4 linked regions of the Caenorhabditis elegans genome follow. The protein of the gene in region 3 interacts with the protein of the main gene of each other region in a pairwise test. Each region holds a gene or a part of one and is shown on either strand. Other genes may lie near its edges. The genes, in order: cdk-9, bed-1, cdc-37 and F01G4.6.

The links.
Region 1: the proteins of cdc-37 (region 3) and cdk-9 interact in a two-hybrid assay, tested with the Caenorhabditis elegans proteins (one large-scale study listed by BioGRID).
Region 2: the proteins of cdc-37 (region 3) and bed-1 interact in a two-hybrid assay, tested with the Caenorhabditis elegans proteins (one large-scale study listed by BioGRID).
Region 4: the proteins of cdc-37 (region 3) and F01G4.6 interact in a two-hybrid assay, tested with the Caenorhabditis elegans proteins (one large-scale study listed by BioGRID).

Annotation. Positions count from the first base shown.
Region 1 is NC_003279.8:11,320,329-11,327,659, reverse strand, and holds the start of cdk-9 (putative cyclin-dependent kinase 9), read right to left. Parts: upstream 4,134-7,331; 5' UTR 4,129-4,133; coding exon 4,079-4,128; intron 2,789-4,078; coding exon 2,741-2,788; intron 1,914-2,740; coding exon 1,722-1,913; intron 968-1,721; coding exon 795-967; intron 209-794; coding exon 1-208. Other genes in the region: hxk-2 (Phosphotransferase), read left to right, coding at 4,568-4,602, 4,677-4,779, 5,289-5,448, 6,187-6,329. UniProt on the Caenorhabditis elegans protein: Essential member of the cyclin-dependent kinase pair (CDK9/cyclin-T) complex, also called positive transcription elongation factor B (P-TEFb), which is proposed to facilitate the transition from abortive to production elongation by phosphorylating the CTD (C-terminal domain) of the large subunit of RNA polymerase II (RNAP II) and spt-5.
Region 2 is NC_003283.11:19,117,632-19,127,865, forward strand, and holds bed-1 (BED-type domain-containing protein), read right to left. Parts: upstream 7,283-10,234; 5' UTR 7,277-7,282; coding exon 7,021-7,276; intron 4,815-7,020; coding exon 4,704-4,814; intron 4,616-4,703; coding exon 4,538-4,615; intron 4,463-4,537; coding exon 4,353-4,462; intron 4,304-4,352; coding exon 4,172-4,303; intron 3,561-4,171; coding exon 3,464-3,560; intron 3,401-3,463; coding exon 3,159-3,400; intron 2,109-3,158; coding exon 1,992-2,108; 3' UTR 1,896-1,991; downstream 1-1,895. Other genes in the region: pro-3 (Protein SDA1 homolog), read right to left, coding at 1-202, 585-773; Y39B6A.13 (RsbRD_N domain-containing protein), read right to left, coding at 912-986, 1,037-1,198, 1,248-1,460, 1,510-1,649, 1,693-1,729; dyf-17 (Verprolin), read left to right, coding at 9,899-9,991.
Region 3 is NC_003280.10:576,013-583,732, forward strand, and holds cdc-37 (Hsp90 chaperone protein kinase-targeting subunit), read right to left. Parts: upstream 4,582-7,720; coding exon 4,490-4,581; intron 3,881-4,489; coding exon 3,493-3,880; intron 3,447-3,492; coding exon 2,838-3,446; intron 2,703-2,837; exon of another isoform or gene 2,649-2,702; intron 2,198-2,648; coding exon 2,075-2,197; downstream 1-2,074. Other genes in the region: W08F4.7 (CW domain-containing protein), read right to left, coding at 23-184, 579-664, 716-779, 1,254-1,361, 1,618-1,720; W08F4.3 (Sigma non-opioid intracellular receptor 1), read left to right, coding at 4,609-4,744, 4,806-4,927, 4,980-5,229, 5,646-5,824; fbxb-14 (F-box associated domain-containing protein), read right to left, coding at 6,099-6,737; W08F4.12 (F-box domain-containing protein), read right to left, coding at 7,212-7,345, 7,416-7,540.
Region 4 is NC_003282.8:11,146,148-11,152,474, reverse strand, and holds F01G4.6 (Phosphate carrier protein, mitochondrial), read left to right. Parts: upstream 1-3,273; 5' UTR 3,274-3,515; coding exon 3,516-3,750; intron 3,751-3,793; coding exon 3,794-3,915; intron 3,916-3,958; coding exon 3,959-4,687; intron 4,688-4,735; coding exon 4,736-4,813; downstream 4,814-6,327. Other genes in the region: C08F8.2 (ATP-dependent RNA helicase SUV3 homolog, mitochondrial), read right to left, coding at 1-41, 449-527, 577-696, 743-897, 943-1,182, 1,254-1,478; pfd-1 (putative prefoldin subunit 1), read right to left, coding at 1,653-1,752, 1,805-1,950, 2,253-2,360; pigq-1 (PMT_2 domain-containing protein), read left to right, coding at 5,233-5,297, 5,346-5,484, 5,529-5,631, 5,686-5,833, 5,880-5,970, 6,019-6,282. UniProt on the Caenorhabditis elegans protein: Transport of phosphate groups from the cytosol to the mitochondrial matrix.

The sequences.
Region 1 (7,331 bases), on a different chromosome or scaffold from region 3:
AGAACATTTGCAGCTTTCATATCACGATGAAGAATTTTACTACGATGAAGCTTATTCAATCCAGACATCAAATGTTTCATCATTGTTTTAATATGAACAAGAGACATTCGAATTTTCGGATTTGATAAGAGACCAGCCAAATCGTGTGCACAAAGAGCCATTACCAAGTAGAAAGTTGCACGATCCTTGGATCCCGTCGTTCCAGTACCTGAATTTTTTGGATTTTTGGGGAAAAATTGGGAAATTTCAGTGAAAATCACCCTAAAATAAGTCTAAAATGAGTAAAATTGGGTGAAAAATCAGTTTTTTCGGGCGAAAATCGAGAAAATATGGATTTTTTAGTGAAAAAACAGAGATTTTCAGTAGAAAATAGTGTTCAAAAAGGTGGTTTTCACCTGAAAATATCGATTTTTCGGTGAAAATTTCGGAAATTGTAGTGAAAATTACCCTAAAATTGGTCTAAAATGAGTAAAAATAGGTGGAAACCCCTGGTTTTTAATGAAATTTCAGTGGAAAATGCCTTAAAATCGCTTGAAAAACCGGATTTTCAGGAGAAATTCAGTGAATTTCAATGAAAAATCACTCAAAATGAGCATTTTTCCGTCGGAAAACTGCCGAAAAATCGATTTTCAGCCCATTTTTTGGGGCTAAAAATTTGCATTTTTCAGGCAAAAATCCATGAAATTCCAGTTTTTTGGGCGTTTTTTCCGGCCAAAATCGTGAGATTTCGTGAATTTTTTGATTTTTCACATTTTTGGGTCGGTTTTCTGCCGTTTTTCGTGCGAAAAACGCACTTTTCGCACTGCAAACTTCGATAAGATCAGTGATATTTGGATGTTTAAGCTGTTCGAGCATTTTAACTTCACGTAGTGCTGTAATTGGGAATCCTTCCTTCTCATTTTCCATTAAAATCTTCTTTAGAGCAACCATTCGGCCTGTATTCTTGCATCGGGCTTTGAATACTTCTCTGAAAATTGGGAAAATTAAAAATTTACAAGAAAAACGTTTAAAAAATGAGAAAAAACCGATGAAAATGGACAAAAATCGAAATTTTTCACTGGTGGCCGAGTTTTTCTAGTAGAGTTTTCAAGGCCACTAGGCTTCAAAATCGTCGTTTTTGAGTGGTTTTTACTGAAAAAAAAATCAGGTTTTTTGCGGTGGCCGAAGTTTTTTTGCGGTGGCCGAAGTTTTTTCACTGGTGGCCGAGTTTTTCTAGTGGAGTTTTCTAGACCATTTCATGAAAAATGCAGTTTTTGAGCGTTTTTCACTGAAAAACAGGTTTTTTGCGGTGGCCGAGGTATACCTAGTGGATTTTTCTAGGCCACCACATAAAAATCGCTGTTTTTGAGCGGTTTTTACAGAAAAAAATCAGGTTTTTTCGAGGTGGCCGAAGTTTTTTTAGAGGATTTTTCTAGGCCACCACATGGAAAACGCTGTTTTTGAGTGGTTTTTTAATGGAAAAAAACAGGTTTTTTGCAGTGGCCGAGTTTTTCCCAGCGGAGTTTTCTAGGGCATCGCTTGAGAAATGATGACCGAGCTTTTCAAATGATTTTTCTAGGCCACGTCTTCATTTTCCGCGGAATTTTAGGTTTTTTGGAGTAAAATTTCGGTTAAAATCCATTTAAAAAATGTGTTTTTTTGCCGATTTTCCGCCGAATTTTTCCGGTTTTTCAGCAATTTTTTCACACGAATTCCTCGATTTTCGGCCCTGCAAAACTTGCCCAAAAGTGCCCTGTCCAATCTTATTCAGCTTCTCATACGTGGAAACATCTCGAATAAACGGATACGTTGCCTGATCGAAGAGCTTCTGATAATTCGATAGTTGCTGCTTCACTTCAAGCTCATAATTTGTTCCATTTGGTGTTTGTCCACCGCCGGATGATGATGGAGTCGTTTGACCGCCGATTAGAGCTCTGAAAAATGGGAAATTACACTGCAACTTTTTCCTCACGAGGGACGAGGAAAAGTGGTTTCTAGGCCATGGCCGAGGAGCCGACAAGTTTCAGCGGCCATTTATCTTGCTTTGTTTTCCGCCTGTTTTCTTTCGTTTTTCATCGATTTTTCCCGTTTTTTCTTAATAAAACTGATAAATAAATACTTTTTGCAGATGCTAAAACAATTTCCAATTAAAAAAATTATGTATTCAGTGGGCAAGCAGCGGTGAAAGTGGTCAATGCAATATGATGGATTACGGGAATACAAAACCCAAACTTTTCCCCAAAAATGATACATATGATGTTTAGATGGTAAAAGTACCTGATTTTCATAACGAGACCGCTGAAAAAGTTTTGACTTTTTTGGTGAAAATCTCGACTTTTTCACCAAAAAAGTTGAATTTTGGAAACCTCAAAACTTTTTCAGCGGTCTCGTTATGAAAATCAGGTACTTTTACCATCTAAACATCATATGTATCATTTTTGGGGAAAAGTTTGGGTTTTGTATTCCCGTAATCCATCATATTGCATTGACCATTTTCACCGCTGCTTGCCCACTGAATGCATAATTTTTTCACTTGGAAATTGTTTTAGCATCTGCAAAAAATATTTATTTATCAGTTTTATTAAGAAAAAACGGGAAAAAGCTGTGAAAAACAAAAGAAAACAGGCGGAAAACAAAGCAAGATAAATGGCCGCTGAAACTTGTCGGCTCCTCGGCCATGGCCTAGAAACCACTTTTCCTCGTCCCTCGTGAGGAAAAAGTTGCAGTGGAAAATATCGACTTTCCATCCTAAATTCCGTACCTTTTCGGCGGCTCCTGAGCATGCTCGGTGTTCGGCCGCTTCGGAGGTCTGGACATGAAAAAATGCGGTTTTTTGGGTGGAAATGAGTACTTTTTAGGGGATTTGTCATCAAAATCGTGGATTTTTCGGTTTTTTGGGGTGTTTTTCACGTTAAAATCACGAATTTTGAGTGAATTTTCATTATTTTTGCCGAAAAAAATCCAGTGGAAATTAGTGTTAAAAAGGTGTTTTTTACGTAAAAATATTGATTTTTCGGGGAAAAATCACTCTAAAATTGCTTTAAAATGAGTAAAAATAGGTGAAAAATCGGTTTTTTTCGGACGAAAACTTTTTAGTACAAAAAAATGAACATGTTGGAAAAAACAGCGATTTTCAGTAGTTTTCACATGAAAATATCGATTTTTCGGAGTGATTTTGAGGTAATTTTCAGCGAAAAACCCTCTAAAATTGCTTAAAATCGATAAATATCTGCTCAGAAAGATGGAAAACCCGGTTTTTAGTGAAAATTTAGGTTTAAATTTGGGTTTTTGGTGAAAAAAACAGGGATTTCCAGTGGAAATTAGTGTTCAAAAGGTGTCTTTTACGTAAAAATATCGATTTTTCGAGGGGAAAAATTGGAAATTTCAGTGAAAATTACCCAAAAATAGGTGAAAAACCGGGTTTCTTAGGGGAAAATCGAAAAAATTTGGATTTTTTAGTGAAAAAACACCCTAAACCTACTGAAAAAGTTGGAAAAACAGGGATTTTCCGTAGTTTTTCAACGAGAATATCGATTTTTATTGGGAAAAATGAGAAATTTCAGTGAAAATCACCCTAAAATTGCTTTAAAATGAGTAAAAATAGTTGAAAACCCCGGTTTTTTCGGGTGAAAATCGACTTTTTAGTGAAAAAAACAGCCTAAAAAACTGAAAGTTGGAAAAAACAGCGATTTTCACTATAGTTTTTTAATAGTTTTTCATATGAAAATATCGATTTTTCGGGGAAAATTTCGAAAATTTCAGCGGAAAACTCTCTAAAATTGCTTAAAATCGATAAATATCTGCTCAGAAAGGTGGAAAACTCGGTTTTTAGTGAAAATTTAGGTTTAAATTTGGATTTTTGGTGATATTTCAGTGGAAAATGCTGTTAAAATCGCTAATTTAATAAATTTCGGTGTGAAAATTCACTCAAAAACTGCCGAAAAATCAATTTTCTGCGAATTTTTTTTTGATTTTTTTGTTTTGCAAATCAAAATCGTGGATTTTTTAGTTATCTGGGGTGTTTTTCACGTTAAAATCACGAATTTCTAGTGAAAATCAACGAAAAACCGGGGGTTTTCTCGCTTAAAATCCAACGAACCTCTGTGTACTCGACTGGTGGAGGCCGGCGTGATAGTTTTGAGCACTCATTTGCTCTGAAAATTGTTAATTTTTGTGGAAAAAAACATTAAAAATTGCGAAAAAATTGCGAAAAAACCGAAAAAATAGAGGAAAATTGCAAAAAAAAACATTGAGAAATAGAGAAAAGGGGCGGAGTGGCTCAATTGCAATGCGGGCGCGCGATATTTGCAAACCGCCGCACACACTTGACATTTTCCGTATTTTATTTTATTTTGCAAAAAAAAAAGCATTTCTATCATCAATTTCGAAGGGTTTCGCCTGCGTCTCTTCGTCATGTTTTTCCTCGTCTTCTCGTCAAATCTTCACTCAAAAATATTGACAATTTGTGTGTGCCCCTGAAACCCGTGGTTTTTATTATTTTATTTTTCTTAAAAACAAATAAAAAATCTGTTTTCCCACTATTTTTTAATGTCAAAATTAACATTTTCAGCCCAAAAATCTACACAAAATGCTGGGTATCATCGAGCTCGGCATTCAATATCGGTATTTTTCACATTTTTCAATTTTTTCCGCCCGGGAAAAATCGATAAAATCGATAAAACCGCATTTTTCTTCAGGATATGGCGTTCACAAGCCCATGGAAAGGGAAAAAAGAGCCCGCGGACGCCGACGACTCCGCTGGCAAAAATGGCGTCGAAACTGAATGAAGAATCGATTTCGGTGGGAGATTTGGCGGAAAATTTCGGGAGAAAAACTGTTGAAAATGGCTTTTTAAGCATGAAAATCCTTATAATACACAATAAATTGGCATATTTCGCTGAAATTGTCGTAAAAAATAGTCGAAAAATGCAAAATTTCACTAAAAATCAGTCCATGGCCTAACTTTTCGAATTGGTGGTCTCGAAATCCGGCTAGGCCACCTTTTCAGAAAAATCTGATATTAACTTCATTTTCAATGTCCAAAAAAGTGAAAATCTTCGAAAATCACCGAAATTCGAATCGATGGCCTAACTTTCCGAATTGGTGGCCTAGAAATCCGGTTTTGGGTTTTCTAGGCCACCGTAAAATACAATTTGAGTATTTGCTGCTTTTTAACTCTAAAACCCGTTAAAAATATCAAAATTTGATCAAAAATCAGTCCGTGGCCTAACTTTTCCATTCGGTGGCCTAGAAACCCAAATTTCACGGCCACCAACCAATTTACCACCTAAAAATCGATATTTTTGCAGCTGGAATCCGTGATGGCCGAGTTTAAGCTGTCAAATACGACTCTCCGACGAATGATGTCCCATTTATCAGATAATATGGATCGAGGACTGGAATCCGGCTTGGAACGGTCCACAATTGCAATGTTACCATCTTTTGTGCCAGAATTGCCGAATGGAAAAGGTTTTTAATCGAAAAATCGAGAAAAAATGGCCTAAGAATGGGTTTTTACGGTCGTGGCCTAACTTTCCAGTTGGTGGCCTAGAAATCCAAATATACCATTTTCTAGGCCACCAAAGCAAGAATTTTCATAAAAATCACTGATTTTTCTCTTGAAAACGTAGAAAATTTGACTGAAAATTCAAAAAATCCGAAAAATTGGCTAAAAATTCGATTTTTCAATCCATGGCCTAGCTTTTGGTGGCCTAGAAATCCAAACCCATCATTTTCTAGGCCACCTACACAAAACTCATTCATTTCCCCCGAATTTTCAAGAAAATTCCATGTTCTGCTGAAAAAACGTTGATTTTCATATTTTCAGCCTATGGCCTAATTTTTGGTGGCCTAGAAATCCCAGGCCTCCATTTTCTAGGCCACCATCACCAAAAGCAGCAATTTTGCGCCAAATTTTCACGAAAATTTCATGTTCTACTGAAAAAATCGTAAATTTCAATGAATTCACACCATGGCCTAACTTTAGGTAGCCTAGAAATCCAAAACTAGCTTTTTCTAGGCCACCTACTCATTTTCCACCAGATTTTTACCAAGAACTCCATTCTTGCGGCAAAACAACAACTGTCATACTATGGCCTAACTTTAGGTGGCCTAGAAATCCCAGTTCACCATTTTCTAAGCCACCTACACCAAAATCAGCCACTTTCCGCCGAATTTTCAGTAAAAATCAATGATTTTCTTTTGCAGAACGTGGAAAATTCGTTGCAATGGACCTCGGAGGCACAAATCTACGTGTAATGTTGATGGAACTGGAGCCCGGTGAGCCGATGAGAACTAAACAATTTAATACAAGAATGCCAAATGCCGCAATGCATGGAACCGGACAAAAAGTACGAGGAAATCGGGATTTTTAGCCTGAAAACGCGCTGAAAAACTGGAAAAAAAGCGATAAAAGTTGAAGAAATTGCCACTGAAATTTGAAGAAAACCATGAAAATTGGGAATTTTCGTGAAAAAAGCAGAAAAAAAGCTATGAAAAACTTGAAAATTGGGGATTTTCAGCATGAAAACCTGGAAAATTTTGGTTTTTTACCCTAAAAAATCCGAGAAATTGACATTTTCAGCCTGAAACCCCTGAAATTTCATAAATTTCAGAGGGATAAAACTGAAAAATTGCGTATTTTAGCTTGAAAAAACCGAAAAATTCCGGTTTTCAAACCCAAAAAACTGAGAAATTGTGATTTTCAGCCTCAAAATCTGAGAAATTTTGGTTTTTTCTCATAAAAAAACCTGAAAATTCCGCGATTTTCAGCCGGAAAAACCGGAAAAATTGCGTGTTTTAGCTTGAAAATTGGAAAATTTCGTGATTTTCAGCCTGAAAACCTGAAAATTCCTTGTTTTCGACCTCAAAAATCTAAAAATTCGAAGTTTTCAGCCAAAAAAACTGGAAATTTTTGGTTTTTTAACTTAAAAAATCTCAAAATTTCGTGATTTTCAGTCTAAAAACCGGAAAATTCTAGTTTTTTAACCTAAAAAATCTGAGAAATTTCATGTTTTCCAGCCTGAAAAGTCCGAGAAATTGGACTTTTTAAGCGTAAAAACCTGAAAATTCCGTAATTTTCAGCCTGAAAACCTTAAAATATGGTGATTTTCAGCCTAAAACCCTGAGATTTTATAAGTTTTAGCCGGAAAACCTGGAAATTTCCTAATTTTCAGCCTGAAGCCCCCCACCGGAAAATTTTAGTTTTTTAGCCTAAAAAGTCTGAGAAATTGGACTTTTTACGCGTAAAAAGCTGAAAATTTCGCGATTTTCAATAAGAAAACCCTGAAATTTCATAAATTTCAGCCGGAAAACCCGGAAAATTTGGTGGTTTTCATACAGAAAAACCTGAA
Region 2 (10,234 bases), on a different chromosome or scaffold from region 3:
GATCCAAACCAGCTCCTTGCTCTCTCAAAAGCTCAAAAAGACTATCGGAGAATTGTTTCGACTCTTTCGGGTAATGTTTCGCCAATCCGGACAGAAAAAGCACCGAATCGACGAGAGATTGCATTTCTTGACGAGATTGTTCGGGTTGCAAGTGGAGAAGTTTCATTGTTTGAACGAAATAGTTGAATTGTTCGAGGAATTCCTGCAAAAAATTAATAAATTAGAGCTAAAATCGATAAATTTCATGAAAAAGTGTAGTTTGTAGTCGAAAAATGTATGTATTTTTAATTTTTATTTGAAAAAAGTGATGTTTTAGCAGAAAATTGGCAAAATTTGGTGTTAGCAGCGCCCAAAAACTTGTAGTTTGTAGTCTTAGCAGCGCCCAAAATCTTGTAGTTTGTAGTCTTAGCAGCGCCCAAAATTGAATTAGCAGCGCCCAAAATCTTGTAGTTTGTAGTCTTAGCAGCGCCCAAAATCTTGTAGTTTGTAGTCTTAGCAGCGCCCAAAATCGAATTTTTCGTCGTTTTTTACTCAATTTTAACCCAAAATTCGCGAATTTTCTCGTTTTTTCTCGAATTTCGCACCTCTTTATAGGATTCCGGATCTTTTCGAATAATTTCTTGCATCAATCCCAAATTCCTTTCGGACATTGTGAAGCGTGAAGCTTTTCCAGAATTGGAGCCCTCCGTCGGAGCATTGCTTTTTCCATTTTTTTTGCCGACTTTTCCGATCCTTTTTTCGCCCTTTCCGGGTGATTTTGACACTTTACCCATTTTTTTGGCTGAAAATGTGTGGAGTTTAAGGTTGAAAAATTAGGAAAACAGTGGAAAAAGTAAGATTTCTGGCTGAAAACCAGTAAAAAGACGATAAAATCAATAAATAAACCCGTTTTATTAAAATTTTAGTACTATTTACACATTTTTAGATTCAAAATCCAAATATTTCCGCTCAAAATCCGAATTTCCACGTGGCTCGAGCTCCATTAGCTGAAAATTCGAATTTTTACTCATTTTTCCTTCAGAAAATCGATTAAAACCTTCGTTTTCATCTTTAAAAACGATTTTTCTTTATATTTCCCATCTTCCGGCTCTTCTGACATCACAACTCCGTCGAGCAGGTCCCGGGCGCCGATTTTCCTGAATTTCCCGTCTTTTGGGTATAAATTCACCGAGTTTTCGAATAAATCCTTTAATAATACCTGAAATTAGCTCAAAAATTAAAGATTTCGGCAAAAAATCACCACTTACGTTAGTGGCAAGCTCGAGAAGCCTCGAAATATATGAAATTTCAGAGAAATTTATAATTTTCGGGCATTCCGAACCGAATAAATCGATTATTTTCAGCAAGAACATGGAATTCGCAAAGGTTTGCTGATCTGACGGCAGAAATTGGAAAGCGTGGAGAAATTTGAAGAGAAAATCGGGAAATTGCGCCGAAATTTGCGGATTTTCACGATTTACCTGAAAATTTTGACGTTTTTCTTCAAATTTTGATGAATTTCACACTCACCTCCTTGCCAGCTTCATATGTATCAAGTTTTTGCATCGAAATCTTCACAATCAACCGGAAAACGCGCTCTTTTTCATCGCCGCTTCGAATTTCCTGGGATATTTTGTGCCATGAGCGATATATATTGTCAGAACTGAATTCTAAAATCAAAAATTAAATTTTTCAATCATTTTAAGCACTTACGATCGAAAATTTCACGAAAAATGGGGGCAATATCCATGAAAATAGGTGAGAAATCAGAGAAATTCGTCGAAAAATGAAGTGTCGATTTACGGTAAACAAGGCGCGTTGGCGGGATTTCGGAGCGTCGTTGCGTGGGAATTTAAATCAGATTAATCGGGAAACTCTATTTTTTATTGATTTTCCGCTGAATTCAATGAAATATTAAAAAAAATTGATTTATTTCGGATGAGAAAATTGTACAGAAAATCAATAAAAGAGAAATCGGGATAAACTTTTGTGGAAAATAGATTAAAAATTGGTTATTCTTCGTGCTCTTGGGCCTCATCTTGCTCCTCGCCGAGTTCTCGTTCCAATTTTTTGATTTCCAGCTCCAGTTTTCTAGATTTCATTCGATAATATGTTGTCATGGCGTCTTCCTGCAAGAAAAATGGGGTTAGCAGCGCCCAAAAACTTGTAGTTTGTAGTCTTGGCAGCGCCCAAAATTGAATTAGCAGCGCCCAAAATCTTGTAATTTGTAGTCTTGGCAGCGCCCAAAATTGAATTAGCAGCGCCCAAAATCTTGTAGTTTGTAGTCTTAGCAGCGCCCAAAATTGAATTAGCAGCGCCCAAACTTGTAGTTTGTAGTCTTAGCAGTGCCCAAAATCTTGTAGTTTGTAGTTTTAGCAGCGCCCAAAATTGAATTAGCAGCGCCCAAAATCTTGTAGTTTGTAGTCTTGGCAGCGCCCAAAATTGAATTAGCAGCGCCCAAATCTTGTAGTTTGTGGTCTAAGCAGCGCCCAAAATTGAATTAGCAGCGCCCAAAATCTTGTAGTTTGTAGTCTTAGCAGCGCCCAAAATTGAATTAGCAGCGCCCAAACTTGTAGTTTGTAGTCTTAGCAGCGCCCAAAATTGAATTAGCAGCGCCCAAACTTGTAGTTTGTAGTCTTAGCAGCGCCCAAAATTGAATTAGCAGCGCCCAAACTTGTAGTTTGTAGTCTTAGCAGCGCCCAAAATTGAATTAGCAGCGCCCAAACTTGTAGTTTGTAGTCTTAGCAGCGCCCAAAATCTTGTAGTTTGTAGTTTTAGCAGCGCCCAAAATCTTGTAGTTTGTAGTCTTGGCAGCGCCCAAAATTGAATTAGCAGCGCCCAAATCGTGTAGTTTGTAGTTTAGCAGCGCCCAAAAATGAATTAGCAGCGCCCAAAATCTTGTAGTTTGTAGTCTAAGCTGCGCCTAAAATTGAATTAGCAGCGCCCAAAATCTTGTAGTTTGTAGTTTTAGCAGCGCCCAATATCTTGTAGTTTATAGTCTTAGCAGCGCCCAAAATTAAATTAGCAGCGCCCAAAATCTTGTAGTTTGTAGCCTAAGCAGCGCACTCATTTTTTCGCGGTTTTGGGTCATTTTTCGTGATTTTTTCGATTTTCCAAGTGAAAAAATCGATTTTCAAGTATTTTTTGAGCCAAAAATTCAAATTTTGAAAATCCCCTACTCTGGCAATTGTCGAATGCAGTGATTGATTATACAATACTTTTGCCTCAAAATCCAAAATTTGCACCGCCTGTGCATTATATTTTGCCGGCATCATTGGCGTCGCTGCTGCTGCTGCTGACGTGGCAGAGGCAACAGCTGATGACGTCATCGCCGGGATCTGGGGCGCCGCGGCTGATGATGACGTGGCAGTGCTCGATGGAAGAGGTGGCCGACGAATTGCAGAGAGAATCGATAGGGAGACTGAAAAAAAAGTTGTAGTCTTTGTAGTCTTTGTAGTATTTGTAGTCTCTTATTAAAACCTACATTTTCCACTGTTTAATGCTGGATTTTCAGTCAATTTCTGCTCATCGGCTCTTCGCTTCTTGGTTTGTGCTCCGCCAGAGCTTGAGCTCACTTGTTTCTAAAAATTTATTGATTTTTCCGGAAATTTATTGATTTTTCCGGAAATTTATTGATTTTTTCGGAAATTTATTGACTTTTTTGGGAATTTATTGATTTTTTTGGGAATTTATTGATTTTTTTGGGAATTTATTGATTTTTCTGAAAATTTGTTGATTTTTCTGAATATTCATTGATTTTTCTGAAAATTTATTGATTTTTCTGAAAATTTATTGATTTTTCTGAATGTTCACTGATTTTTCTGGAAATTTATTGATTTTTCTGGAATTTCATTGATTTTTCTGAAAATTTATTGATTTTTCTGAATATTCATTGATTTTTCTGAAAATTTATTGATTTTTTTGGAATTTATTGATTTTCTTGGGAATTTATAGATTTTTCTGAAAATTTATTGATTTTTTTGGGAATTTATTGATTTTCTTGGGAATTTATTGATTTTTCTGGAATTTCATTGATTTTTCTGAAAATTTATTGATTTTTTTGGAATTTATTGATTTTCTTGGGAATTTATAGATTTTTCTGAAAATTTATTGATTTTTCTGAAAATTTATTAATTTTTTTGGGAATTTATTGATTTTCTTGGGAATTTATCGATTTTTCTGCAAATTGTACCTCCTCATCCTGCTGAATTGGCGCGGCGATCGCTATAACCTCTTCACACCGCCCATCATCAATTCCGAGTAGTTTTTTGAGCGCCTGGTCGGGTTCTGGCTCCAAGAGCCCGTTTTGTTCGGTTTCCTGGAACTTTTGCAAAAATATTAAAATATTTCTACACATTAATAGAAGAAATTACCTGTTGCAAATTCCTTATTACTGCGTCGATTTCCGAATCTGCACGGCTTTGCGGGTCAACAACTAACATGTGTTGTGGAGAATCGTGATCCGGTAAGCCACCACGTGGCGCTGAAAATTTGAATGGAAATTGTGGGTCTCGCCACGAAATTTCGTAAAAAAAGTTACAGTAGTAAGTAAACTCACCAGAATCATCGACATTTAAAAACTGTTCCAGAAGGTTATCCATATACGATTTGGTGTCTTCTGTCACTATTGTATAATCTGAAAATTTACAAAAAATCGGTAATTTTCACACTGCAAAAGCCAGAAAATCGATATTTTCCCCTAAAAATCAATACAAAACCCATACCTTCCATCTTCTTCCGTTTCCGCCGGGCTACTGGTGGCGGATTTTCGGGGTCAAAATTGATGGCGGCCGGGTGTATTGTTTTCAAATGACGTAATAGTGCTGATGTTCCACCTGAAAATTTAAAAAAAAAGTAAAAAATATGCGAAAAATCGTTGAAAAACCTTAAAATTGAGGTTAGCAGCGCCCAATTTATGTAGTTTGTAGTCTTAGCAGCGCCCAAAATCTTGTAGTTTGTAGTCTTAGCAGCGCCCAAAATCTTGTAGTTTGTAGTCTTAGCAGCGCCCAAAATTTTGTAGTTTGTAGTCTTAGCAGCGCCCAAAAATTGAATTAGCAGCGCCCAAAATCTTGTAGTTTGTAGTGTTAGCAGCGTCCAAAATTTTGTAGTTTGTAGTCTTAGCAGCGCCCAAAATTTTGTAGTTTGTAGTCTTAGCAGCGCCCAAAATTGAATTAGCAGCGCCCAAAATCCTGTAGTTTGTAGTCTTAGCAGCGCCCAAAATCTTGTAGTTTGTAGTCTTAGCAGCGCCCAAAATTGAATTAGCAGCGCCCAAAATTTTGTAGTTTGTAGTCTTAGCAGCGCCCAAAATTTTGTAGTTTGTAGTCTTAGCAGCGCCCAAAATTGAATTAGCAGCGCCCAAAATCCTGTAGTTTGTAGTCTTAGCAGCGCCCAAAATCTTGTAGTTTGTAGTCTTAGCAGCGCCCAAAATTGAATTAGCAGCGCCCAAAATTTTGTAGTTTGTAGTCTAAGCAGCGCCCAAAATTGAATTAGCAGCGCCTAAAATCTTGTAGTTTGTAGTCTTAGCAGCGCCCAAAATTTTGTAGTTTGTAGTCTTAGCAGCGCCCAAAATTGAATTAGCAGCGCCCAAAATCCTGTAGTTTGTAGTCTTAGCAGCGCCCAAAATCTTGTAGTTTGTAGTCTTAGCAGCGCCCAAAATTGAATTAGCAGCGCCCAAAATCTTGTAGTTTGTAGTCTTAGCAGCGCCCAAAATTGAATTAGCAGCGCCCAAAATTTTGTAGTTTGTAGTCTTAGCAGCGCCCAAAATTTTGTAGTTTGTAGTCTTAGCAGCGCCCAAAATTGAATTAGCAGCGCCCAAAATCCTGTAGTTTGTAGTCTTAGCAGCGCCCAAAATCTTGTAGTTTGTAGTCTTAGCAGCGCCTAAAATTTTGTAGTTTGTAGTCTTAGCAGCGCCCAAAATCTTGTAGTTTGTAGTCTTAGCAGCGCCCAAAATCTTGTAGTTTGTAGTCTAAGCAGCGCCCAAAATCTTGTAGTTTGTAGTGTTAGCAGCGTCCAAAATTTCGTAGTTTGTAGCTTTAGCAGCGCCCAAAATTTAATTAGCAGCGCCCAAAATCTTGTAGTTTGTAGTCTAAGCAGCGCCCAAAATCTTGTAGTTTGTAGTCTAAGCAGCGCCCAAAATCTTGTAGTTTGTAGTGTTAGCAGCGTCCAAAATTTTGTAGTTTGTAGCTTTAGCAGCGCCCAAAATCTTGTAGTTTGTAGTGTTAGCAGCGTCCAAAATTTTGTAGTTTGTAGTCTTAGCAGCGCCCAAAATCTTGTAGTTTGTAGTCTTAGCAGCGCCCAAAATTGAATTAGCAGCGCCCAAAATCTTGTAGTTTGTAGTCTTAGCAGCGCCCAAAATTGAATTAGCAGCGCCCAAAATTTTGTAGTTTGTAGTCTTAGCAGCGCCCAAAATTTTGTAGTTTGTAGTCTTAGCAGCGCCCAAAATTGAATTAGCAGCGCCCAAAATCCTGTAGTTTGTAGTCTTAGCAGCGCCCAAAATCTTGTAGTTTGTAGTCTTAGCAGCGCCTAAAATTTTGTAGTTTGTAGTCTTAGCAGCGCCCAAAATCTTGTAGTTTGTAGTCTTAGCAGCGCCCAAAATCTTGTAGTTTGTAGTCTAAGCAGCGCCCAAAATCTTGTAGTTTGTAGTGTTAGCAGCGTCCAAAATTTCGTAGTTTGTAGCTTTAGCAGCGCCCAAAATTGAATTAGCAGCGCCCAAAATCTTGTAGTTTGTAGTCTAAGCAGCGCCCAAAATCTTGTAGTTTGTAGTCTAAGCAGCGCCCAAAATCTTGTAGTTTGTAGTGTTAGCAGCGTCCAAAATTTTGTAGTTTGTAGCTTTAGCAGCGCCCAAAATCTTGTAGTTTGTAGTCTTAGCAGCGCCCAAAATCTTGTAGTTTGTAGTGTTAGCAGCGCCTTTTTTTTCGATTTTCTGTCATTTTTTGCTCAAATTGAATCATTTTTTTCGATTTTTTTTTGCAATTCTGTAGTTTTAGTGTCATTTTTCTTCAAATTTTCTCTAAAACCTTGTAGTTTGTAGTCAAACGTCACCTTTAACTTGAAATTCAGCAGCACAATAATTACAGGCGGCTCGTTGGCTTTCAGCCACCCACGTAATGTGCTCCCACACAATAGACCGGCCTTTTGACGACGGAAACCACGCCGGCTTCGTTTCCAACGGAATTTCCGATAAATCTACGGGGTTTTCAGGATTTTCAGCTAAATTTTCAGATTCTGGTGCTCCTGGAGCAATTATGTAGTTAAATTCGTCGGGTTCTAGCTTGATGTCTTTTTGAGTGGATTCCATTTCTGAAAGTTTGAATATTTTTCAAGAAAAAAAAAGGTTTTGAGTGGAAAAATCGATTTTTTGCGGGATATGTATTTATTTTTTACATTTTCCTAAAAAAAATAAAAAATAAAATCATATTTTTCGACATTTTTTACAAAAAAAATCAAGGAAACCGTTGAAAATCAGTTTAAAAACTCAAAAATCGATATGCAAAACAAAAAAGTGGGTTACTGTAGGTTTAACGGCGCATCACTCAAAATTTTGCTGGAGTCTTGGAAAATATTTGTATTTTAGCGATTTTCAATGATTTTTCATCATTTTTATGCCAAAAAATTGAGAAAAAAGCGTAAAAAGCAACGAAAATTTTTTAAAAAAGCCCAAAAATCATCTTTTGCAGAAAAGAAAACCTATTTTGCGGTGGTTTTAAAAGCGCATAGGCTAAAAATTTTGCAGAAAAAACTTGGAAAAATGTTAAAATGTGCTGAAATTGAATAAATTTTCATTTTTAAAAAATTTTACCGAAAAATTTGCGAAAAAACAATAAAAACCAACAAAAAATCGCAAAATTGGGTTACGGTCGGTTTAAAGGCGCATAACTCGAATAATTTTAGGAAAATTGTGAATTTTCGGGATTTTTTTACTTTTTACCGTTAAAAGTCAAGAAAAAACAATAAAAATCGGCGATTTTTTGCAAAAAGAAAAGAGTTACTGTAGGTTTAAAGGCGCATAACTCGAAAAATTTGAGAAAAAGCGATTTTTTTTTGTTTTTTTTTCTTCGCATTTTCTTATTAATTTTTAATATTATTACTATTCCAACCTTATTATACATTTGCACAAAAATTATTCCAAAACCTCTAAAATTGGTAAAAACGGCAAAAAAAAGGTATAAGCAAGAGGCGAAAAAGGCGGGAAGAATGAAGGATTAGCCGAGGCCTTTGGGCAGGAGACACCCCCCAACGAGATAGCACACAAACATAAGAGACCGCAGACGGCCCAATCAATTCGGGCCCGAGACAGCCTCCCCGCCTCACGCGGCCTTCCTAGAGACAATGGGGAAGCCGGAGGGTGTTAGACGGGTAGACGGGCTGAGTGTGTGGGGGGGGGGGGGTACATAGTTGTTGTCTTCATGGCCTCGAGAGGAGTGTCACACATCTGCCTCGATAGCTCAGTTGGGAGAGCGCACGACTGAAGATCGTGAGGTCACCAGTTCGATCCTGGTTCGGGGCAATTCTTTTTTGTTTTTTTTTAAAATTAAAATTCAACTATACGCCTTTAAACATACCGTATTCCTGTATTCCTTTAATATTTGGCAAAAGTCGTTTTTCTCAAATTCTACTGGAAAAGCCAATCAAGCGGGCTGAAATAAACATTTTGCAACATTTTTTGCCAGCTATGCGCCTTCAAACCTACCGTAACCTTTTATTTTTGCAAAAAAATCAATTTTTCTTGTTTTGGCTCATTTTTACAGTTTTGTTCTGGATTTTTCACATGAAAAACGATAAATATCAGTGCAAAAAGCATGTTTCTACATTTTAGCCCAAAAAATTGTGCAATGCGCCTTTAAAGCTACCGTAACCTTTCAGTATTTACGAAAAATTGTTTTTTCCTTGTTTTGTGCTTAATTTTCCGGTGTTTCCCTTATATTTCACATGAAAACGTTGAAATGTTTTTCTCAACAACTTTCTCAACTTTTTGCCCAAAAATTTGTGTGATGCGCCTTTAAATCTACTGTAACCTTTTAAATTTTCGAAAAATCGATTTTTTTTCTGTTTTTGGGTTAATTTTTCTGTTTTTTCTTGATTTTTCACTGAAAATTGACAAAAAATTGAAGAAACATACAGAAAAACTAAATTTTTTGCTTTTTAACGCAAAAATTTGTGTGATGCGCCTTTAAACCTACCGTAACCTTTTAATTTAAAAAAAAAATCAATTTTTCTCAGTTTTTGGAGCAAATTTTTTGGTTTTTCCCAGATTTTTCACATGAAAAACTCTAAACCGTAGGGCAAAATCATGTTTCTCCATTTTTAGCCCAAAAAATTGTGCAATGCGCCTTTAAACCTACCGTAACCATTAAATTTTTCGGAAAATCGTTTTTTCTCTGCTGTTGGCTCAATTTTTTGGTTTTCTTTCGTTTTTTCGCAAAAAATGAACAAAAATTTCTAAAAATTGGTTGAAAATGCCAGAAAAACCTGATTTCTCAATTTTTGGCTATATGCGCCTTTAAAGCTTCCGTAACCCAATTTTAAATCGATTTTTTCGCTGAAACATTCGAAATTTCTGTTCAATATTGCCATTTTAGGCTTCTAAACAATAAATTTGTCAAAATGTGAGAGAGCTGGCTCCCCGAGAGACGCAGAGAAACGGAGACGGTCACCATGGTGACAGCTGCCTCAGTTGCACGGCCATTTTGGGATTTTTGAGCCAAAATTTTAGAATTTTGATGTATACTGTAGTTTGTAGTTTGTAGTTTGTAGTTTTTGTAGTTATGATAATATAACATGCTCAATATTTTGATTTTGGAAAAAAGTCCCGAAAAGTTTTGGAAATTTTTTTTTGCACAAAAAATTTCGTGTTTTTTTCGAAATTTTTTTTTTGAAAATTGTTTATTTTTTAACGTCAAATTATGTTTTTTAACAGGAAATGCTCCCAAAAAACGAAAAAGAAGCATTAGTCGATGTTGATGATAGGATTGCAATGTTGGAGAGGCGGCTGGACAACGCGAAGGCCGCGAGGGTAAGGACTAAAACTCTTATATCTTGAAAACCAATAGTGCTATCAAAAAGTTGCTAACTAACATAATGATCAGTATCAAATTTCCTATATTTTGTTAGTTGACAATATAATTGTATGACTAACCCGAAAAAAATTGCAATAGGAAACGTCTACGGTGTCAAAACCGTCAGGTGGCTTCTAAAGGCTGTAACTCTTTAGAGGCTAGAGCAATTTTTGCCGACTATTAAAATGATCTACACAAAA
Region 3 (7,720 bases):
AAAAAAAAGTTTCGCCACTTACAAGAATTATCAGGTCCCGCCAGGAAGTCAATTGTGGCAAATGCTCCACAAACTTTTTCTTTCATACAGTAACCACTTCCACTACGGTATAGAAGGTTAGTCTGGTCCTCTGTGCAATTTGGAAGGCCTGACGGAGGATTGTTCATCAGTGCACAGGCATTTGCTGAAAATTTAAACTTTTTAATAATCAAGGTGAAAAATTTGACATTTTTCCTACAAAATCCTATTTTAAAAACTAAAAAATATCGATTTTCGGCAAAGTTACAAAGCTTTGAAGTTGGTGGCCTAGAATTTCAAATTTCTAGGCCACCAACTTAAAAAAAAATTTGATTGTGCAAAATAATTCGAAAGCTCTCAAATGACCCCCATAATGGCAAGCATCCCTTCTTTTCGAATTTCATTGGGTTCCACCACGAAAAGCTACAGTACGCCCCCCCCCTTTTTCGTGCCGAGACCCTCCAAAATTTAAAATTGAGGGATTCTAGTCAATATGGGGGTCATTTAAAAGGTCTCGGTGAGCTGGACTCGATTTTCAGCAAGAAAATAAGTTTCCTCACTAGTATCCGTATATATCCCATCAAAAAGTCGAACCAAATATGGCTTGCATGTCTTCCAGAATCCGGATTGAGATTTTAGAGCTTCCCTGAAAATTGTTCAAATTTTTTCAAGCTGAAAAAAATTGAAAAAAAATTACGAGGTGATCCATCCGACATTGATAAGTCCAAGTGAAAGTGTAGAACTGATTGGAAGTGTGAAAACTATAAAATATCGATTTTAAATTAGAACATATTATGGGATCACATGCGTACTGCACAACATATTTGACGCGCAAAATATCTCGAAGCGAAAACTACAGTAATTCTTTAAATGACTACTGTAGCGCAAGGTGTCGATTTACGGGCTCAATTTTTGAAATTAATAAAAATAATTTATAGAATATTTAAACTAAGTAAAAAATAAGAAAATAATTCGAAAATAAATTAATTTCAAAAATCGAGCCCGTAAATCGACACCTGGCGCTACAGTAGTCATTTAAAGAATTACCGTAGTTTTCGCTACGAGATATTTTGCGCGTCAAATATGTTGTGCAATACGCATTCTAATAACATTTCTCAAAATAAAAATTGAAATGTTTGAAAAAAAAATTAATTCTTTCTGAATTTTTTGAACTTTTCCAAAAACTCTGAAATTGCAGATTAAATTATTTTTAAATCAGAAAATCAATAACTAACAAGCATTCATCACATTATACGACGAAGATCCACAAGTGACACCTCCAGTCAGGGGTACTGTAGCTGATTGGAGCGTCTCACAGTAACGAATGACAGTTGGGGTCCAATCTGGAAATTATTTTTATTTAAGAAATCATTTGTGTCACGTGGTGTCAGGCTCTTCCCATCACGGTTTGATCTACAAAAAATGCGGGAATTTTTCGCCCTAAAATGTGACGTCAGCAGGCAAAATCAGTTGAGAACTCTGCGCCTCAACTCCCGCATTTTTTGTAGATCTACGTAGATCACGCCGAAATGGCACGTTATTGGGTCTGCTAAATCAAAATTTGAAGTTTGTAGGCTAGCAGACCCATCCTAGACTCACTTCCATACAAGCTCAATTGTGCCAAGGAAAATGGGACAAAAACTAGTAGAATAAGCCGCGAATTTACCATTTTCAGCCAAAAAATGACCGATAATACATCCATTATTGAACTTTATAGTTGTCAGGCGGAGACTAACGTTTGCTTACAAAACATCACTTTCAAAAAATCGTGAGAAAAAAAAACGAATAAACACAATAAGAAGAAAGTTGATGATGATAATCTTTATGCTATTCCGAATTGGAATTTTTGAATACGAAGTGGAACGATTCTCGAAGCAAAAAAAAACTTTTTTACAGGTGTTCGAGAGGGAAAATAAACAGTAAATGTCGTGGGGGGTGTAGAATAAATAAAGAAATAATTGGGCCATTTTCAGTGAATCTTGGGGAAAAAGTAAAGTGCGGTGCAGAAAAAACAAGTAGATCAGGGGAACTTTCAAACGGGGAATAATGGGGAAATTTAGGAGCTGGTTGTTGGCTCTTCCTCGGCTGGAGCAGCTTCCTCATCGTCGTCGTCGTCGTCAGCTTTTCCGGGCACCCAGAGTCCAGAGGCGATGCATCGATCGAAATGGTACTTGAAGACCTGAAAATTTGGATTTTTGGATGTTGAAATTAGATGAATTTGGCTAAAAATAATAGCCTACAAACTACTAATTTCGATTTAGCAGACCATAGGTGGTTTTGAAGAAATTTGGTCTGCTAGACTACAAACTACAAAACTCGATTTAGCAGACCAAAATTAAAAAATGCCTGTTTTCAGCTTAAAATTTTGATTTTTGATTCGTTTTTTTTTGGAATACAATGTTAATTCACTCAAAAATTTGAAAATAGATCAATTTTCCCCCGAAAGTTCAGATTTTTTCAGGATTTTATATTAAAATACGCACTTTTGTCTTAAAACACAAAAATCGCACAATTTTCCACTAAAAATCGCAAAAAACCTGAATTTTTGCTAATTTCTATTTGAAAAATATTCATTTTTCCGCTGAAAAATTGAAAATTTATCAATTTTTGCAATTTTCATTGCGAAAATTGAAAACTTTGGGTCTGCTAGTCTACAAACTACACATTTCGATTTAGCAGACCAATGCCATTTTGAAGAACCTTGGTCTGCTAGACTACAAACTACAAATTCCGATTTAGCAGACCAATGCCATTTGGAAGAAACTTGGTCTGCTAGACTACAAACTACAAATTTCAATTTAGCAGACCCAAATATTCACCTCTTCATCCATTTTCTGGGCGACACCCTTCAACGCCTCGATATCATGTGCCTCAAAGCACTTTCTCATCTCCTCCGGCAGCTGCTCGAACACTTCCTGTGGATCGATTCCTCCCGGAGCACTCTTCATTCGTTCGGCTTTCTCCTCGGCTTCAGCCTCCTCCATCGCGGCGTCTCTCTTCGTCTGCGCACGTGTTCTGAGACGATCCTCGAACGCCTTCACCTCATCCTGATAGTGCTTCATGTAGACCGGCTCGGCGGCTTCGAACTTCTTGAAGAATTGCTTCTGGACGGTGGTATTCGTGGCGACTGCGTTCAGCGATTTCGAGAGCTCCAGAAGATATTGAATGATGATGCATTGCTCAGCCATCGTCTTCATTTTCTCCTCATTAAAATCGATGGCGGCGTTGAGAGCCTCAATTGTGAGCCAATTTGCAGTGTACTCCGACGCCATATGCGGATGCTCGGCCAGGAACAGCTCCGTCGACTTGGCTCCGTTCTTGAGCACGGCCATCTTCTCCAGAAGGCTCTCGTGAGTCTCGAAGAAAGTGCTCATCGCATGAGTGTCCTCCTCATCGGTTTTGGGAGCTTGCGGCTTCTTCTCGGTGATCTGAAATTACAGAATTAATCAATTTGCACAGAAAAATCTTCAAAACCTTATTGATCCTCGACGTGCTGAACGCCTCATGACCGATCGTGTCGACGTTCCATGGCTCCAGACGCTCTTTCTCCTCGAGTTCGGCCTCCTTCTTGCGCCAGGCTTCTTCTTGCGCCTTCACCTCGTCGATTTGCTTCTGAATATCCGACTTGTCAGTGACATCGGCTGCGGCAAGCTTCTTCTCGAGCTCCTCCATCTTCTTGCTCGTCGTGCCCTTTTCCTTATCGATTTTCTCCTGTTCCATCTTCTTCTCGGCCATTCGCTCCAAACGAGCTTGATGGCGCCATCTGAAGAGCGACGGAGTGTCAATGTTCGGGTGAGTGTCGTCCTCGTCGTCGGAAACCTCGATATCCTTCCATTTGGAGTAGTCGATTGGCATTTTTGAGCTGAAAATCGAGAAAATTGAGTGGAAAATAAGGAATTAGCAGGAAAAGCGAGAGAAAACTGATAATCGCTGGAAAATTCCGACTCGGTTGCCACGACAACGAGGATAATCCGCGTGAAATTACGAAAACAGAAATTTCATGAAGAAAACGTGGCATTATAATGATGTTTCAAAGGATTTACGTGGAATTAACTATTTGCTGAGCAATTTTCGAGAAATTTCTTCAAAATTTCTCAAATAGAAATACTACGTTTTCTAGCGGATTTCGGCCTTTTTTTTGGCCCAAAACTCCGACAAATTGATTTTTAAAAGCCTGTAGAATTAAATTTAGACTTCTAAAAGTGGAAAAAATCGAAGGAAACCCCGAAAATAACATGAGAAAGGCGAAAAATGACTTTTGTTTTTCTTCTCGGTCCTTCTGTGGCAATGCGCGTCAGATATGGTGTTTTCTGTGTGCTTCTGCGTCACGGTGTTTGCACACAATTCCTTTTTCGCTGATTTTTTTAATTTTCAGCGCGCTGCAGCGCCATTTCTTGCATTTTTCAAGCATTTCCATTGATTTTTCCGCGAAAAAACATCTGAAATTTCAAAAAATCAATGTTAAACTCACAATTTTTCTTCTTCGCACTCGCTGTCCCTCTTGAAAACTCGCGAAATGACTGTATTTCCTTTTTTTTTCACGCAAAATTTCCAAATTTCCATGTTTTCAGGGTAGTTCAACACGTGAAAATGGCTCTTCTCACCTCAAAGCTTCGGTATCTTCTGCTCTTCTACGCAGTCTTCCAGGCTGCTCAATTTGGCCTCCGCTGGAAGTCTTATGACATCTCGCCGAAGCAGTTCAAGACTATCGCTGGAAAGGCTGCTGGTGAGGAAAAACATATTTTTCTGCGAAAATACCGCAATTTTAATATATTGTATATTTTCAGCTGCTCCAACAATCTCCCAGTCAATTTCCACATTGACGTCTGGAATGCGCACTTATTACGAGCCAATCATGCCAAGTCACTTCGAATGGCACGCTATTCAGTTGGGAGGCCTCACTTTAAGGGTGAGGAACAGGAAAAATCGAAAAAAAATCTTAAATTTAATGAATTTTCCAGATGTACCCAATGCTGACCGCTTTCACCGAGTTCGCCGCCGCCTTCTCCGCTCCGTTCCCAACTTCAGGACGCCCGGGGCTCCATTGGGCAAATACGACGTGCACCGTGTTGAAAGGAAAAGTCAGCCGATTCAATGACGGAACTCAGGACGAGACGTCGGAGAACTTTGCTTCGGGAGCCGCTTTCAGGCACGGACAGTTCGAGTCCCACGTGTACAGCTTCGAGAAGGACACCTACGTCGCGTGCTACGGTAAATTACACCGAAAATCAAGGAAAATTCGTTTTTTTTTGAGTCTGGCAGACCAATTTCGAATTAAAATCACCTGGGTCTGCTAAATATAATTTTGTAGTTTGTAGTCTAGCAGACCAATTTCGAAATCAAATCACTTGGTCTGCTAAATATAATTTTGTAGTTTGTAGTCTAGCAGACCAATTTCGAACTGAAATCGCATGGTCTGCTAAATACAGTTTTGTAGTTTGTAGTCTAGCAGACCAATTTCGAATTGAAATCACTTGGGTCTGCTAAATATAATTTTGTAGTTTGTAGTCTAGCAGACCAATTTCGAACTGAAATCGCTTGGTCTGCTAAATATAATTTTGTAGTTTGTAGTCAACCAGACCCATATAAAAATCCCCTCGTTTCTAATGAATTTTTATATTTTTCAGGTCGCGGCTTCCTCCCACTCTCCTCCACCGTCCACGTCACCTCTGGAATCTCACTCGGCGAGCCACTCTCGGTCATTCAATTCTACATGAAGCAGGCCTACAACTACTGGAACAACCTGAGCCACACCCTCTATCGTGTCTTCCAGCACTACAAGGCCCGCGCCACTGGAGAACTTTAAATAATTTATGTGATTCCCCATCCGGTGCATTTCTACAAGCATTCTAACCCGAAATTTTCATTTATTCAGTCATGTTTTATCCCAATGTCCCCCCTCTACTTCCATTTTTACGGTTGTGTAATTCGATTTCTTGAGCCATTTTATTGCATAATTTAAAATACAAGAACATATTTATTTCATCACCTCAACCATTTAACCATATAGCTCAACCGAAAAAAATAATTGCACAGGTATTTGAAGGCATTTGCAGTGAAAGATGATCAAAAGTCGCTGCTTACTCATCGTCGGCCAGCCGGACGAATCGAACAGTAGTTCTGGTGAGGGAAACCTTTGCCTTGATCCCTCTTTTGCACACAATTTGGACGTGTTGAACCATTCCATCATCCACGACCAGAGGATCTTCGTATCTAGTAAAGTCTATTCCGCGGAGAATAGTTCCATGTACAGGATGCTCAATATTCAGACCATCTACAACAAGATCACTGATTCTCAGCTGTGAGTTCTGAATCCAGATCTTCAAGAACAAGTTGACATCCTTTGCAGTCATTGAGTGGTGCAATGAACGAAGCGTTCGACTATTTGACAAGAACACCTCGTTCAGTGTGAGATTGGTGACTTTCAGCTCCTCATAATTTTGAACCAAGAGTTCTTTTCTTATTGGGACCACGACAATCTCCAGGTTCTCTGGATGAGTCCCGAAGAGATGGTGCCCCTGAACTTCCGTGGATGTGGTGCTGCAGCTCGCGATCTTCCTGTTCTCAAAGAGAGAACAAATCGTTTTTATCTCTTCATTCATCCCATTTTCGAGGTTAATGTGGATTTGCCGGTTCTGATGCAAAACCTCGTGGATGTGGTCCAGGAACTTGATAAGTGTGAGGTGAGGAATCTCGATTTCGTCTTCAGATCCTCGCATATTCCTTCTAGCTACCACCCTCGGTGGATTTTCTTTAAATATGAATAAATATCTGTCATTGAGACTGGACCTCAGCCTGATTGTCGAATCAGAGAATGTCAAACTTTCGTGGTTCCCGTTGACTCTGGCAACCGCAGTTTTCGCTTTTGCTGAGAGTAGCGAGATCGAGAATCTGAAATAACATAAGGTTTGGGAGTCAACTTGAAGCTGTTATTTTGGGGTTTCTTCCAAATTAATTCTTTAAAGAATAATAAGAGTTGGAGGTTTTGAGGTTATTACGGTTTATTAAGGATAAATTAATAGAGAAATCACCGAGTTAATGGGACATGTAAGGAGGGGAAAAGGACGATAAGTAACACAAGTAAAAGGAATTAGAGAAGACCTAGAATGAGCGTTTCCGGCTCCTTATATAGGGGAATTGGGCGGGGCCAAGAAAAGTCGAGAATGATGACAATTAGAGTTGGCGCCGGCAATTCAGATCCGCGCGCCGTCCGGTGGGGCGCGCTTGCATCGTGACCTCCAAACGTTGGCAGGCCTAGTCGTTGTCTTGGGCAGCGGTTCTGGCCGGATAACCGTGATGTTATCCGCTACGACATCACTTGCTGGACCTGTAAGACTATACGAAAGTAATGCTCTTGTATGACGGTGGGAGAGTACAAGGATCGTGAAGATTCTTACAATATCTGTCATTGAGACTGGACCTCAGCCTGATTGTCGAATCAGAGAATGACACACTTTCGTGGTTCCCGTTGACTCTGGCAACCGCAGTTTTCGCTTTTGCTGAGAGTAGAGAGATCGAGAATCTGAAATAACATAAGGTTTGGGAGTCAACTTGAAGCTGTTATTTTGGGGTTTCTTCCAAATTAATTTTTTAAAGAATGAATCGTCAGTGGGGATTCAGTATGAATTCAATAGTTCAATTTGACCGAATATCAAAATGAAACTGTCCAAAAATTTTCAGATTGTTAAAGTTTCAGCAAAAG
Region 4 (6,327 bases), on a different chromosome or scaffold from region 3:
TGCTCGTCGCGGAGCATTTGAATCTCATCGATTACCGCAACCTAAACTTTCCATGAACTTGAACTATATTATTTCAGACGCTAAATTTTTTGATCTCTGCTCTAAAAAGACTGTACCGGGTCTCGACGCGACAATTTTATGTTACAAGATGTGCGCCTTCATAGAGTACTGTAATTTCAAACTCTAGTTCCGGCTTAAATATCGATTTTTTGTATTTATTATACCGACAAAATTCTAATTTAAACTCAAAAATACTAATGTAAACCACAAAGTTCAGCAAATTAATTATTTGCAAATTGAGAGAAAAATTATTGAAATTACAGTACTCTTTATTTAAAGGCGCGCGCCTTTTCGAATTTAACAAAAATTTGTCGCGTCGAGACCGGATAATCTATTTTTGGCGGAAAATCGTCGAATTTTGCGTCTTGAAAAATTAAAAAATTGAAACCTCGACTCGCATTTGTGTTGATAACATTTCAACTGTAGATGAAAGATGTTGACTTGGATGATGATTATCTTTTGCGAACCTTAAAAAACACAAATTGGAACTAATTATGAAAATGTATATTCAATTACCTTCTCTCTTCTCCAGTAACTAAATCACATGGTATTCCAAGTTCATTTGTTCGATGAAACACTTCAGCAGCAAGTAATTTCAGTGGTCCACAGAAAACTGCACTTTTTGCCTCACCAAAACTGAAATAGAATATTTGGAAATCAATTTATTGTTTCAGATAATTACCGTTTAAGAGCGTGATATGTTTTTCCACTATTCGTTGGTCCAGCGTGAAAAAAGATCTTTCTTGTCACACTTCTGGCTTCAGGATACCAATTGTGCGGTCTTGTGAGATCGGAAATGATTCGCAAATCGTCCATCGCTTCCAAGTGGGGAAAAACCTCAAAATTTCAGATAAACTCTCAATTAAGATAGTTTTCGGAAACCTGTTTGGCATGATCTAAAAAGAACGGATACAGCATTTCACAGTCTTTTGTTCCTTTTGAAATATCGCTTAATAGAATAAGAAGTCCAGGATCAACAGAATTTAGGTCTTCTGGTGTACAGTACTCTCTGAATGATTTGAAAGATCGCATGAATAATTTATCATTGATCCCGTTTTCTTTGGCAAGTTGGCGTACCATTGGACGGCGCATAAATTCATCAAGGGACATGTGAATGTTTGTCTGAAAGTTGAAAAATGAGCTTTGGAAGATGCTGGAGTTGGCATTTTTGATGAGATCGAATAAGTTCTTACATTATCTAGTGATCCAATCCATTCTCCCATTCCCGCAGCTGTTTGTGTTACATGTTTAACTTTTCGAGGTTCGACAATATCCTCAATAGTCGCAGTTTTTCTCACAGAATTCCTTTTTCTTCTAGAATTCATTGCTGGAAATCTGGAGGAGGATGGGGTTGAGCTGGTTGAACATCTTTGAGTTAGGCCTCCCAGAACTCGTAAAACACCAGACGCCCTTCTCATCTGTAATATTTGATAGAAGTATGCACACGCTGAAATAGAAATAGAAATAACGGAAATCCAGAAATTGTTTTGAAAACGTTTATACGTACGCCAGAAGAGATTCATTCGAAAAAATGATGCAAACGTAAACAATAAAGCAATTTTACACACAAAATAGAAATTATTCCCGAGGGTTCAGCGTCTACTTTGAATCAGCTCGCGAAGATTCGTTTCAGCCTCCACCAATCCTTTCTCCAAATAGTCTTTCTGCTTCTCGATAGCTTCAATTTTCTCTCTGAAAATGGGATTGGTTGTGTAAACTGTTTTGAATGGAAGAATGAAATTACTTTGACTGTTTAGCTTCAGCTTCATGTCTGGAAATTTCAGCTGGTTTGTCGGTCAGCAGGAACATACGCCCAACAGATCGATAGTACTTGAGGTTTTCATCCAAATCCACCAAGTTCTTTTTTGTGCTCTCTGAGATCCTCATTTTCTGAAAAATTTAGTTATTAGAAGCGTTACTTAAGAGAAAAAGTTATACTTTTATGTTTTTAAATATTAAAAATGCTGAGTGTTTTTTAATGGATGTGTGTAATGAAAAAATACCGATGTACAGCAAAAACTTTTTTGGCAAAGCTAGATTGTAGTTGTGACTAGCTGTGACTATTTGTGACTTAGGCACAAGCTAAGAGGTGAAACTCGCTAGTTTCTATGTTATCAAGTTATGATGTCATACATTTCTCATAATATTTAAAGTATATCAAATTTCAATATTTAATATTCAAAAATACTCACCTGATAGTTAACTTTCTTATTTTGTTCTCCTTGAACTATCCGCATTCGTGTTTCATTGGTTTTGAATTGCAAGTCGCGAAACGCTTTTGAGATCTCCTCGTCGGCCATTTCTGAAGTTGTAATATGAAAGTTGATTTAATAATTGAGACAAAAAAGAGTTGCGTTAAAAGAAATCACGAGAAAAGCAAAGAAAACAAATTGATTATCTTTGAAAAGTTGATTTGGAATAAACTTTTGAGAGATGGATTATTTATCCACAAATTTTAATTATTTTATGATTTATATATGTTAAAAAATGAGATACACCTTTTAAATGATAAAATAATAATGCTAGAAAACAGAATTTTAGATGTTGTAGTCATATTTTAAAATAAAAATGGAAAAATCGAGTAGAAATGTTTGCTGGCGCATTGCCAGAATCGAGTTAGATGTGCAGGTCATATAGCAAAGTGACGGGAGACGACTACGGTAGGGGCCGACCATGGCTCAGAGAACGTCCATGATATCTTTTGAGGCGGTTTGCAGGCCCGCCAGTGATAAATTATCAGTTATTCTACGAATTTCTTGAATTTTGAGTTTTATTGTAGATTTTTGAAGCATTATATTGCAAAATCATCTGTGATATTTTTGTTAGTGTCTCTTTTACATTTTTATACTTCCCGCATACTAATTTTTCGTGTGAATATAAATGTTTGGCAATAATTTCGGTAATTTCCAGGTAACCACCATGAGCGTGTTCAGCCAGCTTGCCGAATCATCGAAGCAGAACCCATTCAGCTTGCCGGTCAGGTCGGGTAACTGCGCCAGTGCTGTTTCAGCTCGTAAGTATTAATTGAATTTAAAAAAAAAACTTAATATATTAGCTAGCATAATATTGTCAGTAAAATAGTAAATTCACGTCCTACTTAGATTACTTTCTAGAATTTAGTTTTTTATTAGGAGGGGTAATGACAATCCGAATTTTTCTTTACCTGCATTCTCTGTTCCCACTTCCCGTGCAGCGCATGTGCACACGTAAATTGACGAGGGCTGCGAGAGGCACGGCGGAGATAGTATCTCGCGAAAAGAGAATCGAGACAGACTATTCCCTCGTTTTGCAAAACGTGGCAACCGCGTTTTAAAAAGACATAGAATCGAATATCTGTCTGCCGTTCGACGTCGTTCACACGTAAATTTCACGTGGATCATTTACTATCTTCCACGTTATTTCTATGCTACCACATGCCTAGGCGGGATTATAAGCATTGTTATAATCGCTTATCAATGACGTCCGAAACGGAAGAGAAGGCTATGCCATTCATAGCTCGAGCCAAATCTCCTCATCTCCAAACTGGAAGGGCTGGCATTATAGTGATATTATGCATGTGGATTATAATTTATTTTTGGGGTGTTACCCAACTAGTTGACGGGTTAATGGACTGGCTGGCGTACGGGTCCACTCAATATGTTGCACGGGTCGCGGTTGGTGTTGTCACCACTGTAGCTTCTTCATATGAAGGTTTATCGCTCGAACTATACAATTTAATGTTTTTTTGTTACAGCTGGACAAGTTGAATTCGGAAGTGGCAAGTACTACGCTTACTGTGCTCTCGGAGGAGTTCTTTCTTGTGGAATCACCCACACTGCCATCGTACCACTTGATCTTGTCAAGTGCAGAATTCAGGTATTACGAGAAAAATCTATTCAACTTAATTGTTTTCTTTTAGGTGAATCCAGAGAAGTACACCGGTATTGCTACTGGTTTCCGGACCACCATCGCCGAGGAAGGAGCTCGTGCTCTTGTAAAGGGATGGGCCCCAACCCTCCTTGGATACTCCGCACAAGGACTTGGAAAATTCGGATTCTACGAGATCTTCAAGAACGTCTACGCTGACATGCTCGGAGAAGAGAACGCATATCTCTACAGAACCTCTCTTTACCTCGCTGCTTCCGCCTCAGCTGAGTTCTTCGCTGATATCCTTCTCGCCCCAATGGAAGCCACCAAGGTCCGTATCCAAACCTCACCAGGAGCTCCACCAACTCTTCGTGGATGTGCACCAATGATCTACAAGGCCGAAGGACTCACCGGATTTTACAAGGGACTTCCACCACTCTGGATGAGACAGATTCCATACACCATGATGAAGTTCGCTTGCTTCGAGAAGACCGTTGAGGCCCTTTACCAATACGTTGTTCCAAAGCCAAGAGCAGAGTGCTCCAAGGCTGAACAACTTGTCGTCACGTTTGTTGCTGGATATATCGCCGGAGTTTTCTGCGCCATCGTATCTCACCCAGCCGACACTGTTGTTTCCAAGCTTAACCAAGACTCTCAAGCCACCGCCGGAGGAATCCTCAAGAAACTTGGTTTCGCCGGAGTCTGGAAGGGACTTGTGCCACGTATTATCATGATCGGAACCCTCACAGCTCTTCAATGGTTCATCTATGATTCTGTTAAAGTGAGTTTATATCGGTATTATTTTTCTTAATTAATAAAAAAAATTCAGGTCGCCCTCAACCTTCCACGCCCACCACCACCAGAGATGCCAGCTTCCCTCAAGGCCAAGCTTGCCGCTCAACAATAATTGCACTGACTAGATAATGATTTTGATTTCCTTCCTTAATCGATTGTTCTAGCCATTGTATTAATTTGAAATCCACCCAATTTGTCTCTTTTCTCTCGGTCCTACTCTCACTCTTAATTTTTTATAACTAATTAGTGCACCATGCTCGGTTTTAGTGTGATTATCATTTCCTTCATTTGTTTCAAGTTGTCCTTCAATCCCGATGTCTTCTTTTTTGAAAGATGAGTTCTCTGGCAGTGTTTTTATAAATCTCCTCCGAACAAAACCGATCGAAGAATATTGTATACGTTGGTGTTAATTTGTGTGTGTTCTCAAGAAAAGACCTCAATTGGGTAGTTCAATTAATACAGTCCACCCTCGCTCGTTTTACCGTTGAATTCCAATAAAAAAAATTGATAATAACGTGATTTTCAGAATTTATGGATAAAATTACTAAAAACGTGGTTTTAATCAGGACATTAGAAGCAAAAATTCTTCTCGTCCGGTTTGTTTCCTGAGATATTAATATTTTATACGGAAACTTAGTTTCTAGAACATTTTCCTTCACACGTCTGTTGCTTCTTGATGTTGCTTTTTCAATTTACTTATGGAATATTTGGACACCAAATTGGGAATGGACAGTCAATGAATTTTGGGATCAAACTGGAAATGTTGCTGATAATTTGAACGGAGTAATAATATTTTGAACTTTATGCTCTTCAATAAGAATTTTCAGACAATAACATGGCTGAGAAGTAATCCAGCTGGACTTAAACTTAATACTCCCGTAAATGAAACTCTTGCATGGTTCTTCACTTATCACATTTATCTATGGACAAGTATGCTCTTTTGTTTCCAGAAATTCGCATTCAACTTTCATAATGATTTTTCAGCTTTCATTGGATTTCTTCGTTCTGATGCATTCTTCCGGTTCATCGCATACTCTTTGATCGGTGGCATTTCAACATTTTCTGCGATGGTTTACGATTTCTCGCAAATATTTTTCTTGCACTTCAATTGTTTTGATGCCTACGCTACCAAGTAATCGGGAACTTCAATTGATTTTAAAAGATAATTAATTTTTCAGATTGTGCTACCTTTGTTACTACACTTTAACAGTTCTTTGGAGCCTTGTGAGGGGAAAGAAGTGGAATCCATTGAGAGAACGAAAAGACACTGTAAGAGTTTTCTGGTATACCTATGTCATTTTGTATAAATATTTTCAGGTAATCCTCGACACTCGTCAGCAATTCCTGGCAACTTCTCTGTTCGTCATCCTTCTTTTCATTCTTCCTACAATTTTTGTCTACTTCGTCGTCTTCCGATGTCTTCGACTCGCTGTATCGGCACTTCAAACCGTGCTCTATTTCTTCGCAACGTGGCCATTTCAACTGTTTGCTCTTGAAAAACATTTAGCTGAAAAATACGGAAAACCAGCGGATGCACAAAACGAAGCATTGGCTGAGAAGAAAACAAAATCCCAAAACTGAATTTGGATATATTCAATTTTGATATCTTCGGGTTTTGTTCTCATC